Drosophila melanogaster: one gene and its partner. The protein of the gene in region 1 interacts with the protein of each later gene in a pairwise test. Each region holds a gene or a part of one and is shown on either strand. Other genes may lie near its edges.

Region 1 (9,809 bases):
AAAACTCTTGTTTCTTCTCTGATATCCGAACTTTCCCCTGACTCACTCGAAAGATACATCACTGTCCGAGTGTCCAATCCATAAATAAACGAATGAACATTCGTTAGCCAAGTGACAACTCTTCGGAGCGTAAACAAAGAAAGCTTAACTTTTTCCTTGCCAGCTCCTTCTGCGGAATTGGACCTCCTGCTCTTCCAGCTGGTAGGCAGTGCCTCTTCCTCCACCTGGGACCATGAAATCCCGCAGTGCGGAGTGCGCAGTTCCATTTTCATAACTCATGTCCGAAATGTTGTTAGCGTGCTTTGGCCGGATGATTTATGACCTCGGCGCGGGTTAATAGAATTTACTTGAACCCAATTTGCCAGCGGTTGCAAAGCGCAGAGTGCAGCCGCCCAAAAGGGAGAGCCATTACGGCACTTCCATTTGCATCTCCATCTTTCCATTCCATTTTTATTCGATTGAGCCACGCCATTGCGGCTGGCAGGGATTGGGCAACCAGCCATGCGGGGTGGGACTTTGGATCGAATCGGATCGCACCCCTGCTGCCGACTATAATTAAAACTATGGCGCACGCCTTTGTTGCCACTGGCACGTTTAATTTCCAAAGAGTTCTTCCCCTTATCAGAACAACCCGTTTGTGCCGCCAAACAAAATTGGAAAAAGACCAAAAAGGAAAGCTAGAAAAATAATACAATTATAACCAAAACAAGAGCGCAATAAAGAATATATAAAAATTAAATTCCATAGCGTCATTCCAGACAAAGATCGGCGATACTGTCAACTGGCCGAGAACACTTGAGGCTAGATAACTTTTAGGCTATGGTTTCTTAAGGTTTTGGTTCGCTTCTATGGTCTTTCACGGACATAGCACTTGAAACTCCATGGAGGTGGACAAGTTGAAGGGTGTACGATTCCGGGTGTACACGATATGCCATGGTCAGCAATCTTAAGACTCTGTCTGTTTCGCCGCCCCTAAGTCTTCCGTCTTAGGGTCGTAAATTCGCCGGCAAAGCACCTAAAGCTAGGCGCGGCGGTGCCATCAATTAGGGTATTAATTGCCCGGCTCTGCCGTGGCAAGAGAGCCACCTCGATGAGTCAGTCCTGTGGCCGGGTATCCAGTTTGGAGTCCTCCTCCTCAGCATTAATCTCCTGTAATGTTGATTTCGTGTAGCGCCATTTGTAACGATCGAAACTGGCATAGCCGTCAACTTTTTGAGTGATTAATCACCGCACAGATATTTCGCGACACGCAGCAGTAGCTACTATTAGATACTTTTTGTCTGCCGGTTTTGCTCTTAAGATTTGCCCATGATTTATGCACCGCATGCGTTGCAACAATTAAAATTATCGCCTCAACTCGATTTCCATTCATGGGAGCAGCGGAAAGTTGCCCGTAATTGTGGCATTATAAGCAACTCCGAGGGGATTGTGCATGTTAATGGCCGTCATATATCTGCTTGCTTTATGACTTTAACTATAAACAATTTATGATTCGCTGGGCCAACTTGGCTGGGTGGCCAAGATATGTGGCTAACTTACAGATTGCAGCTCTTCGAAGAAAAGAAAGCAAGGAGTTGGTACGGATTGCCATAGGGGCTTAGCATTAAGCATATAAGCCTAGATTGAATTTTTTAGAATTTAAGTCATGGTTTTCATATACATTTTATTATAAAATGTACTATTTAGCTACTACATCCCTATATATAGTAAAGATATGTTTACAATATTTATCTACACATACATCTCTGCTTACAAAGTATCTGTAATTGACAGGTTGAAAAATATATCAGATTTCTGACCAAGCACTCCAATCACCCAACCACTTCAAACTCAATCTTTTCCTGGCTGGTGACAATTCAGGGGTTTTGCAATATATGCGCCGCACCTGATCCTCGACCACGTGTGCTCCTGCCCTCCACCTCCGCCTCCTCCGGCGGTGTTTATTAGTTACAACACTCGAGAGTGGATTGTGAAGTGTGGAGAACTAGAAGAACTGGAGAAGTGGAAGTGGAGCGCAACAACCGAGCAGTCGAGCTGTCAAAGCGGCCCACATTCGGGCGACTGTTCGTGGGGTCATATAAAGTTTCCGTGCCCATGCCCATGCCCAGTCCCACTTTCCAGGCCCAAGCCCGATCCGATGATATTCTGTTGACGTTGACTAACGTTGCTCGAGTTTATTAGTTTGCCAGAAAAGTGTTTTATGAGTGCAATTAGAAAATGCGCTAGACTAAATTGCACAATTGACAAATAGCAGGGGGCGAGGGTGAGGAGCGCTGAAGGGTGGAAATGGAATCAAATGTGGTGCTGGCTGAACTGTGCCGGCTGGTGGGCCTCTTGACGCCACTCTTCGGAAACCTCGGAACATTGGTGTAACATAGGTGTGTTGGAAAATCGGCCGAGCGCGCAGGCGCAATTTGTATCTCACGGATACTTATCGCAACCGTGGCACCAACACTCGTTGCGTATCTTATCGCATGTGTGTCGATAAGATAACCAATACCAGGCGAGGCGGTACAGAATAAATCATAACGCTGCCACACCGACAGGACCACGCACCCACACAGGTGTGAGGCCGCCCAACCGCAGAGGCGCTGGATCTTCATCGGTGTGGGTAGCTAATTGGGCGGCAAACGCGCCGCAGGCACCGCATTGCGTCGCCGTCGTTGTTGTCATCGCAAGTGAGGTGCTTGGTGCTCAGAGTGCTCAGTGTTTAGTGTATCGAGCCCATAGACCGGAGACCAGTGCCACCACCAGAGCCCAGTTGGTCTCGAAAAAATAGCACTTCGTATCACTGCTAACTGGCAAAGGTTGCGCGCGGGCCACAACCACAATCGCCCCACGGGTGACAGCATTAGATCGCCCCCAAAGCTCCAAAGTTCCTACTTTCCCAAGTTACCAATTTTCGTCAATTTTCGCCAATTTTCCCCACTTGCTCACTTTGCGCGGCACTTTTTCGGGCGCCCAGATTGATAGGAGAAGTGAACCAAACACCTGGACAAGCCGTGCTTGTGATAAATTTTTGAAAACACAACAGAACTGAAATCAAGTGATAAAAACCAATCTTAGATAAAACGCTGGAAGAAACGCAAAGAAGCGGCGTAACTTCAATTTGATGGTCTGCAAAACTATCTCACCGAGTGTAAACATGCAGCTGAAGGTGGGTAAAATAAACTTATAATTATTCAAAAATAGTCAGCGTAATTTTTGGGTATTATATATTAAGTTTGCCAAGTCGGTATTTTCTTTTCAAAACCAATTCCGTTTAAAATCCATATCGGAATGGAGAATATCAACCTGACCGCTTAAAGCAACTATACGTGAACTCTATTAAAAACATTTAAATACCTTTTTGATGCTCATTTACGAGATCTCTATAAGCCTATCTATCATTTCTACTTTGTTGAAAGATCATAAAAGTTTTTAACGTTTTCTCACACAAGTTCATTAAGCTAAATAGACAGGCCATATAGGGTCATTAAAAGCAGATAGTTCAAGTTTATAGATCAGTCGCAAGGCACGAATAAATATTAATTTATTAATTAACGGAGTATAAAGAGCTTTCAAAGGTATTTACAGCTCGAATAGCCATATAGATTTTACATCCTTCGGTGTACCGAGCCAGAAAATGATTTTAGCCCGCAAACGGCAGCGATATGGATTTTTTTCAGTTCTAGCGCCAGGGAAATAAGATAAGACAAATTGATTTATAATGAATGAGTCATCTGGGATGCAGCGGCAAACTGCGACACTTATTTTGGTGTCTGCTCTTGGAAGAAAAACCGAACCGAAACGAACCGAAACCATTAAGAAAACGAGAATGGGTACGAAAACGGGGCAACAAGAAAGCAAGTTAAATGTGGAAAGATGGCTAATCTTTATGAGGTCCAAATTCAGCTGCGATCGAAGGTGGCGTCAAAATACCTTTGACAAAAATAAAATTTGAAACACGCAGCCGACTTTCAACTGCTCGCTCCTCTTCATTCATGAAAAGGGACTGTTTTTACCCATTTTTTGCTGGCCACGGATAATGTGAAATTTATGTCAATCTTATCACCTCGCTTTGGTCCTGCTCCTTATCCCTGTCTCTAGCGTATCCTTCATGGGCTTGGGGTTGGTTTTGTGAATGAATGCCAACCCTTGGCTCATCTGGGGGTACTTTTTATCCTGCCGGAAGTGTCCTTTCGACCAATGGAAGAACAGTCCCTTAACAGTTGCTCAATGGCGGCATCGATAGTTGCAGTTCCAGTTGCAGATACTTTTATTAGACACGCGTCGCCAGTTGACAGTGGATGATGGCTGATAGGAGAGAGGGCGAAGGTTGCGATTGATGGCCCTTTAATAGAGCTGTAAATGCAGCTGGCAGTCGAGAGTCTTATCTCACTTTCATTAGCCAACTGCAGTGAAGTTTAATTAATCGAAGGATCTTCTAACGAGGGCAGATATAAAGGGTATAAATGTATATCCAAAAATGGGTACATTTATTTACTTCCCATTCTTTTGTTAATTATATAGATATTTTGAAAGTGCTCTCACATCTTTAGCCTTTAAGCAGTCTTACCCAAGAAATTGTTCATATTTTTTTATAAGTCTAAAATAAAAAGTAAAACTGGCAAAGAATTTCCTCGAGAAATTTAGAATTTTAACAAAAATAGCATTCATCACAACTGCATTATATTCAAGTTTTATAGTTCTATTCAGTTCTAAATGCCTTAAAATGTTTGGTCAGAGCTGCCTTTGAAATTTGCTCAACCACGAACCCAAGCTCAACGAAAGCGAAACGAGGTGCGATTATATAGTCAATATCTTTTGTTTATATAGATAAAGTACGAAATGTACGTGTGTGTGTGTGTGTGTATGGTTGTGGGTGTGACTGGGCAGATTTCATTCATAAGTTCAGCGGACTCCACACCCTCGCAACGATTCTTGACTAAGCCGAGCAAATAGCGCATGCCATTGCCATTCTCGGGTGACAAACATCGCTTGCACAACTTTTGTAATTCTTGGATATATCTGTCCCTATTGATGACGTAGCCGCAACTGAGAGTGGGTGCGGGCAGTTGGGGGATACCAACCATGACCTCTCAGTCCCAGCAGCAGCAGCAGCAGCTGATTATGTACATTGATAGCGCCCGGATAAGATATTGTCCGTATCGTTCGGCCGTAGTATCTTAACTTTTTCGCGGTACATGGCACGTGCATGGGGGCCTACCTATCGTACTACTACTATATACACACACTCAAAGTCGGGTTTATCTGCATTTCGGGCAGACGATTGTCTGAAGTGACGTTTGCACCACATTATCTCGCACCCTTTCCATCCAGGGAATTCTTTGAACTTTGGCCAAGACGTTGAAAACTTGGCACGGTCATCACCGCCGGCGGAATGCAATCAGTTTCCATGGAACTCTTTCGTCCCCCATTTATATGCCTTCCACATAAGTAATTAAACTTTGTACCTTGGTAAGCGTTAGATTTTTCATTTTTACGGCTTGTCACCAACTGAATCATCATTGAACTTGGCTTGTGTCCACGCAAAAAATGTATCAATCATTTGTGGCACGTCAACCTAAAGTTCTGCGAAAGTGAATCAATTTTCATTAAATGGAAGATAAAGTATTAGTTTTTTCATATAAAGGGAGAGTGGGGATTTTTATGGAATGTATTAAATCAATTCAGCGTGGTGATTATTTTCGGAAAAAAAAAACACCTGTACAAGTATATGGTTATATCTCAGTTAAAAGCAATTATCTTTGCAATATATTTCAATGGCCACAAAAATTTTCCTTTAGTGTTGCTGTGGATTTCCTCAATTGACGGTGGTGATGGTTACACATAAGCACACACATTTTTTGGTATATTTATAGCCATGGTAAAGGTGGAAACCACCTGAAAGCCTCTGAGCTATATGGCACTTGTCATGAGCGGACTGGCGGTAAATTTCAACCTGGCCGCATCGTGAATCAGGTGACAGTGACGATCGAATGTGTTGACACAAGCTCGAGGATGGGAATGGGGATGGGGATGGGTATGGGGCTTTGGAGTGGAAGTGGAAGTGCCACCCCCAACGGAATGAGGTCATAAACCCAAAAGCGACTGACGTATGGCGGGGAAAGCAAAGCGATTTTATGGCCAAGTTTAATTTCCGCCAAAAGCCAAACTAAACCAAAAAAAAAAAAAAAAAAAACCACGAATACACAAGAAAAATGAAAACGAAACCAAGGCACCGCTCTGAGTTTAGGGTTCTGTGAGCAAATACTTCTGCTGGTGGAAATGAAATGGAATAAAAGTGAAAAATGTGTTCGACAATGTTGACACTGAGCAACTGAGTGGTAGAAAGGAGAGGGGTCGCCTCCAAGCCCGTCTCCGTTCGGCTCAGTTTCTGGTACTTTACGGTTGTAGGCGACAAATTGAGCTGTGAGTCGAGCGCGGGCGGTGTCTTTGAAGTCCGTCTCAGCGGTCTTGGTTGGGCTTGCGTCTTGTTGACTTTTGTGGCGGAAACCGAGGCGGGCAGTTCGCACTGCAACGGCCGGAACTGGAGCCACACTTTTGAGACGAGCCGGGCGAAACATGGCATTCAACACTTGTCGCTTGCTCATTGCAGATGGAACAGCAGACAACGCAGCAGCAGCAGCAGCAACAGCAACAGCAACAGCAACAGCAACAATTGCAACAGCAACAGCATCAGGCTCTAACCAAGCAGCAGCTTCAACTGCTGGACAAAATCAAACTCGAGTCCAGCAACGGCGCCGATCAGTTGGCCCAGCAGACGGCCAACAATCTGGATGAGCAGCAGGAGCAGCAGCAACAACACCAACAGCAAGCCGCAACATCGGTGGGCGTGGTGGTGCAGACGGGCCAAGCGGGCGTCAGCGAACCGGAGGAGCAGTACGTGGTGGTGCCACGCAACCAGCGCCGTATTCTCACCACAGCCGGCACACTGTAAGTAACCTCTGGAGACCTTCTTTTCCTAAGAACATAAGCATTCACAAATTTCATTTTTAAACACAATCATCTAATGCAAATGGCAATCGATAGTTACAATTTACCATTGTTATTTAACAGTGTTATTAACAACATTTCAGTGAATTAAACGAAGCTCGTGAAGGAGAACCGAGCACAAACGCCAGCAACGCGAGCTCAGGATCTGCTTCGGATAGCCACATCGAGTACCAGCGCAGTGCACACCAATCTCCCGGAGCCACTCACTACGTGCAGATGGCGCCACGCAACGCAGAGGTGACGGAACAGGTGGGAGCTGCTGCCGGAGCTCCGCCGGGCACCATCTTCGCCTATCCTATTATCTGCAACGGTGACGATGTGGCCGCGATCAAAATCGAAACACTCGAGAAGGGAGAGGCGACGGGGGAGTCGCAACAACAGCAGCAGCAACTGCAGCAACACCAGCATCAGCAGCAACAGCAATGTCCCACACCCAACGGAGCTAGCTACGGCGAGACCATAGTGATCAGCAGCGAGGCGGAGGCACTGCAGCATCACCACCAACAGCAGCAGCAGCACCAGCAGCAGCAGCATCAGCAGCAACACCACCAACACCAGGCGGCAGCTGCAGCATCGGCGGCGGCCCAGACGGTTCACATTGCCACCAGTTCGCATGGTGGAACCGTGCGCTTCGTTACGGAGGATGTACGCTTCACCACCGCCGGACCGGAGACATCCGCCTCGAATATGTACTACGATGTACCCGTGGTGGATGGCAGTGTGCATGCCAACGAGTCCAAGACCTACGCCGACCTAGGCAACGCATATGCCCCCTTCCCGCCCAGCTCCAGCTTCAGTAGCAATAGCTATGCGGCAACGCTTCAGCAGGGAAACACTATTTACAGTGTTCCGGGCACCGGTCAATTCTTGGCCAAGTCCGAGTCTGGCCTAAATCAGACTGGACTGCTGCGCCAGACTGGACCGGCTACTTTTCAGACGATATCTTTTGAGGGCGGCAACGGCATCGAGCCTTTATGGGCATCTCCCGCCCCGCCGGAGTACCAGAGTGTTCAATTTGTAAGTATAATTTAAGTTACTGGTTCTTGAGGCGGTACATACTAACTGTTCTCCCGCATGCTGCACAGAGCAACTTCCATCCGCAGGTTATTGATGAATACGGGAGCGGCAATATGAGCACCTCCCACTGGCCGCCCGCCAGCAGCATAGGGCAGTACGATGGAAGTCTGGTGACCGCCTCGTCCACATCGTCGCCCAACCACGAGCTAAAGTGCGAGAACTGCCATGGGCCGTTCTTGCGGAAGGGTAGCGAGTACTTCTGTCCCAATTGCCCGGCCTTTATGCGGATGGCGCCCCGTATAACCCAGAGGCAGGCGAAGCCCAAGGCCGCCGCCGCCCCCAACAACCGGCGCAACGGGGTCACCTGCGCCAACTGTCAGACCAACTCGACGACCCTGTGGCGTCGCAACAACGAGGGCAATCCGGTGTGCAATGCCTGCGGACTGTACTACAAGCTGCACAACATGAACCGACCGCTGTCGATGAAGAAGGAGGGCATCCAGAAGCGCAAACGGAAGCCTAAGAACAACGGAGGAGCACCCATGCACCGAGCACCGCTGCCGAGTGAGTACACCTGCCAGGGATTACAGTATGCAATAAACTAATCCCAATTCCCAACCAGGCATGTCGCAGGGAGTCAACCTGATGGCCAACAGTCCGCTGTATCCTTCCCAAGTGCCAGTTAGCATGCTGAATAGCCAGCTTAATAGCCAGCAGAATTCCAGTCCGGAGCTGCACGACATGTCGACGACGGGTCAAGCGGGTGGGCAACGGGTGGTGTCCATTTCGCTGAATGCGACGGCGCCGCCCACCCCCGACGGAACGCTCAACATGTCCGCCCGTCATCACGTGACCGGCGAGAGCCATTCTCCTTACAGTCAGCAATCAACGCCACAGAGTCAATCGCCCCATCTGCCCGGCACGGTGCCGATAAACCGTCAGATAGTTCAGCCGTAAGTTAAAGATACTTTTCGCTACCCTGTCGGACTCCTCAATAATAATCATACCTTATAGAGTACCCACCATCGAAAGCAGTCGCAGCTCCAACACTGAACTGACCCCCAGCGTAATCACGCGCACTGGTCTGCCAGAGCGATCATCGAATAACTAAGCTAGCTTTGACTTATGGCTTAAGCTACGCACTAAAGTAACCTATAGTTAACCAAACCCAAATTTCAAAAATTGCCAAAATATTTATTTAAGCCCTAGCCGTTAGTCATACTATATAGCCAAGACCAATGTCCCAGTTAGAGGAAGATTTTGCCGGGTTTTCCGGGTCTTGAGTAACCATTTAACTGTGCAAATGTCTTCCTCCTTTTAGTCAACTGCTTACAGCAAATAGTTTTGAAATGATTTGTGCCAACCACTTAGGATCGCTATACTCTATATAGAGGTAGTTTAGCCCAAGACAGCACAAGCCCATAATGAAGCCTACGATTTTGTATGTTTAAGCCTCTTTTTAATTCTACAAAATAAATAAGTTGTAAACGCAAGGCACTCGGACTTTGATGGCTTTACCAGGATGCGAGGTACCTTGGTGGAGATCGTTATATTTCATTGTCAACAATTTGGCAGCCAACCAAATTGATCCAAATTAATTTTAATGACCCCCACGGACCACAGCGCGAGACCATAAAATCTTAACAAGTTGGCAGGCAAGAGACCCGCGATGGGGCAACCCAGAGACGAGGAACCCAGATCTCGCGCGGATCACCGAAGCATTGGAGCAGTGTCTAAATAGCGATTTGGTGTCATCGCTTAAAAGCCTGTCCGAAGCACAGTAACGCCACCGC
Region 2 (4,500 bases), on another chromosome or scaffold:
AGCGCACAAATCCAAGGACGCCATAAGCGGACGTCACCTTGGGCGAACCCGAAAGGGAAGCGACAAAACGTCGGATCTCCAGGCTGTTAAACTCGTTGGCATTCTCCTCGATACTCAGCCGGTTGTGGGCAAGTCGGTCTATGGTCAGGAGGCGAAACCGAGTCTCCCGATTGTTGCTGCCCACCAAATAGAGGCGCTGAAATTATGGCGATATATGTGATTAGTCAAAAAAAGGTCAGCTGGAGGTGATTTCTTACCGCTCGTGTCTCATAGAGCACTACTTTTTGGATGGAGCTTATCAGGGGATTGAAAACTATATTCGGATTATCATTGTTCATTTTTTCAGCTTTTCCGAAATTTTTTTGTTACAATTTCTCAGGCCGCTCCCACATAAACAACAAACAGCTGATCATCATCTGTAGTTGGATATGCGAGAAATGGCCAGTGTTGGCAGCGTGAGAGGGAGTCGATTAATTAATTTTGTTTTGGTTCAATCAAATATAAATAACATTTTATTCCATCATAAAACATATCAAAATAGGCATATTCATTACCAACCAATTTTATGCCTTATTCTTACAATACCTATGAATATGTTAGCTTATTTTATCATCTAGCAAAATCATTTTTGTCCATTTTAAAGTAGTGCACATGGAAGATATGTCTTCCAAGTGTTTTTAAAGTAGTGGTCACTTGTGTATCTCGAGGATATGTCTAGCAAGTGTTTTTCTCTGCTTATAGAAACTGGCACAGTGAGGACACTTAAATGTTCTTTCAGCGTTGTGTACGAGCTTGTGCTCCTTGAGAGTGCTGCTCAGCCGAAAAGTCTTGGGACAGTGGGAGCAGCGAAATGGACGATCTGGTAAGTGCAGGCGGCTGTGCTGCTTGAGGTGCTGCTTCATAGCGAAGGCCTTGGGGCAGTGGGAACACTTGAATGGTCGTTCACCAGTGTGAGAACGGAAATGGTTATCAAGGTGAAACTTCCTCGTAAATGTTTTCGTGCACTTGGAGCACTTGAACGGTCTCTCGCTGCCATGTGTGCGGATGTGACGCCGGAGATCGGATGATTTAATAAAGGTTTTTGAGCACTGTGAACACTTGAATGGTCGTTCGCCAGTGTGAGTTCGCTCATGCGACTGCAGAGTGGACTGCTGCGCAAAGGTCTTGGCGCAGTGGGAACACTCGTAGGGTTTCGCTGCATTGTGGGTCTTCATGTGCGCCTTGAGAGTGACTCTAAGTCTAAAGTTCCGCTTGCAGTAGGGGCATGGGAAGGATTGTCCGTCCATGTGTGTTCGCATGTGCCTCAGAAAAGTTCCCTTTCGCTGGTATTTCTTGTGGCATTCTCGACATTCGAATGCTACCTTCTTGCTGTCGCTTTTCCCATCGTCATCAGCAGCGGATGCAGAATCAATCCGCGCATCTTCGTCTTCCGAAATCTCCCAGTCTTCTTCTTCGAGCAAGGCGCATAAAGCATCCTCGATGCCTTCATCGCGAACTCGGCAGTAGAACTGGTGGCTTTCCTCACAAGTTTGCCTTATCCCATACGCGCTCTTTACGTCCTCATAGCACTGTGGGCATATCATTTCCGAAAACAAATCGCCACGTTTGACCTCGAATCCGGTGCACTGCGCGATCATCTCGGCAATGGAAACTCTGGTTCTTCGTCTGGCGTCAAATATGTTAACGAGTTTACCAGAAATATCCATACAAACTCGGCATATTTCCGCCATTATCCCTGTAATAAACAATACTTATTAGGCTGAACTTTATGAAGGACTATATTACTTACCTGATGTATATACTAAATAGCTTATAGCTGGAAAAGCAATCTTTTATAATTTAGGAATCCGTTTCATACATCCCAATTAATTGAAAATTAATGCGATTGCCTTGATGAACAATTCAAAATAATAATAAGCTAAACTTCACATTGTGCACAGTACACTGGGCACCCTATTCTCTGGGCCATATGCTAAATCGATTTATTATCGATGTTCGAAATTCAAATTATTTATCAAAATGATGATTTTTGAAACTAAGGTGTGTTTACCATATTTAACAGCTGAGATAAACGCAAACTTGCAAGGGTCGCCCTGTGGTGGTCAGCCCAAGTTTTGATGGGAAAATTCTTATCGGATATCGATATCCTTTACCTGTTGAAGAATATAAAATTGAAATAAATTTCTTTGGAAAAACAAACATTTATCTTCGTATAGTTTTTTCACATTTTCGCCTAGCTAGTGGTGAATAATTTTGGACAGAAGGAGCACTGGACTTTTTCCGTGGAAATCATAGAAAAATTAAATTAAAAAGGCACAAAAAGGAAATGAATCTCCTCGCCGAACTTCTTTGCCAGTATAAAAATAAATTCACATATGAAAAATCGGGTTCCTGGGTGCCACTGAATATGTTTATCCATCGATTCCGGGCTCAGATTACCACCATTGACCTGAAATTAAATAAGCATTACTTACTCCAAATAAAATATAAACAAACAAGTGCGTACCTTTTTTGTTTACAATTTTAACAGCTGATGAGTGAAGTGCTGTTAACCTTTCATAGTTATCGATAATCTGTTATTATTATCGGAATATTGCTCACTTGCTAAGGATTCCATGAAATTTAAACAAATGGACTTTGTGACGACAACTGGGGAGGGAAGTTTTCTGCGAAACAAGATTCGTGCATATGCCAAGGATCACCGTGTTGAGTGCCGCATAAAGGCGAAAGACTCATTGCGCATTGGACTTGGACAGGTTAAGCAGGAAGTGGCGGCTCTTGAGATGGGCACCAAGGACGTCATTGGAATGGCCAGCAGGATCAAGCGTCGCAAGCACGCCACCTCCGAGGATCTGTGCCGCTTGTCGCTGGGGTTCCTCCAGAGCAATGACAACATCAATGCATTCGCAGCTATTCCTGGCGCCATTCAGGTTCTGGTTAAGGAGCTAACTGGTAACCAACTGCACCCTCATTAGCTTTAGTTTTATATAAAAAGGTTGACTTGACTTTCAGGACCTCACATTCAACGACAGACAGATGCCGTGGAGTGCTTGTGTAATCTTTCCTTGGGCGAGGCCCATGTCTCCGAAAAGATTGTCACTTTGGCGGGCAGCTACATGGTCACCTACCTTGATGGCAAGGCCGAACGCCTCAAGCGCAGTTGCCTGTGGACACTGGCCAACGTTCTGGGCACATGCGACAAGGCCGGCAGCGTATTGCTGCAAATGCAAATAGTACCCAAGCTGTGGAGGCTCTACATCGAGCCCAATGGCTGCCAAGAAGATGCGGCCATCTGCCTCTCCCTGGTGGCCACCCGCTGCCCGCAGCATGTGAGTGACGAGGATCGAAGGTACATTGGCCAGAATCTGCCTGAGAAGCTCCACGGCCAGCCTGCCAGCGAGTACTTCATGTACATAGTGCACCAACTGGAAATAGTGACACAGGAGCACAAGTTAGATGCTCAACAGGCCGAATGCCTGGTGCGTTTCTTTGAAGCCACCTTAGCATCGCCAGCCGACCGGCTGTGCCTAATCTACGCCGTGCGTGTAATGACCAATCTGGTAGCCCTAGGTGACACAAGTCTAATATTCGCACTGGCAGACCCGCAGAATCTTGTGCAAACCCTAAACCAGCTCTTCGCTCTGCGAGATCCAGATCTCAACCTGGACGCGATGCGCTTGCTCAAGAACTGTCTGCACTTGAAGGTAGCAGATTCCAACCTGGTACTGAATAGCTTGCAAATATACGCATAGGCTTATGGTTAAGAATAAGTCTTGCAAATCTCTTTATTGGTCTTAGAGTACATATAAATATAAAGCCACGGACTTTTGAGTACTCGAGAATGTATTGTAAATGAACATGGATTGCCGCTAAGCAAAACTAAATCACTAATGGAAACAGAATAAAATAAATAAATAATAAATAAATACAATACGACAAAAACACAGATGCAAAGTGGTCAACATGATTACTAGTTTGATTGAGCCACCGGCATGAAAAACAGGACTTTGTAAAACCTAAATATCATCCTCGAAGAGGGCGATTATTTGACGCCTTTTGGCTTCGTCGTCGGCGTTCAGTTCATTGCCCCTGTGGGCATTGTGGTTGTGCACCTCCAGTTCGGAGACTGAGTCAAATTCTAAATTGCACTGCCCGCAGCGGGCTGAGAAAACGGGCGCTGGACCCTGCGAAACTGTGCCAGGAGAGACAGCGGCCCGTTGCAGCTTCTCGAGGAACGTGGCTCTCTCCCTGTGCTTGTCCAGCCCGATTCCCAGCGCCGCCTTTCCGCGAATGGGAATGGGTTTTTTCACCGTCGGCGTGCCCTGGGAATGGCAACTTTCAGAGCGCTCAATGGCGTACAGCACGTTGTTCTCCTCCGTGATCGGAGTCGTCGTTCCGCTGGCACAGTCGAATAGAGATGGTTCCTGCACCGGCCGGGGATCGGGTATATCTATGGGAATTGGCGGCTCAGCTATCTTCTCACCGTTGGACACCTTCACC

Evidence for each region.
Region 2: the proteins of GATAe (region 1) and Paris interact in a two-hybrid assay, tested with the Drosophila melanogaster proteins (one large-scale study listed by BioGRID).

The regions. Positions count from the first base shown.
Region 1 is NT_033777.3:16,009,627-16,019,435, forward strand, and holds GATAe (GATAe), read left to right. Parts: upstream 1-2,647; 5' UTR 2,648-3,112; coding exon 3,113-3,157; intron 3,158-6,601; coding exon 6,602-6,939; intron 6,940-7,082; coding exon 7,083-8,016; intron 8,017-8,084; coding exon 8,085-8,580; intron 8,581-8,638; coding exon 8,639-8,969; intron 8,970-9,030; coding exon 9,031-9,127; 3' UTR 9,128-9,507; downstream 9,508-9,809.
Region 2 is NT_033779.5:4,461,076-4,465,575, reverse strand, and holds Paris (parkin interacting substrate), read right to left. Parts: upstream 1,966-4,500; 5' UTR 1,790-1,965; intron 1,736-1,789; 5' UTR 1,731-1,735; coding exon 690-1,730; 3' UTR 501-689; downstream 1-500. Other genes in the region: FIG4 phosphoinositide 5-phosphatase, read right to left, coding at 1-196, 258-338; CG15443 (uncharacterized protein), read left to right, coding at 2,616-2,952, 3,013-3,752; CG15435 (uncharacterized protein), read right to left, coding at 4,017-4,500.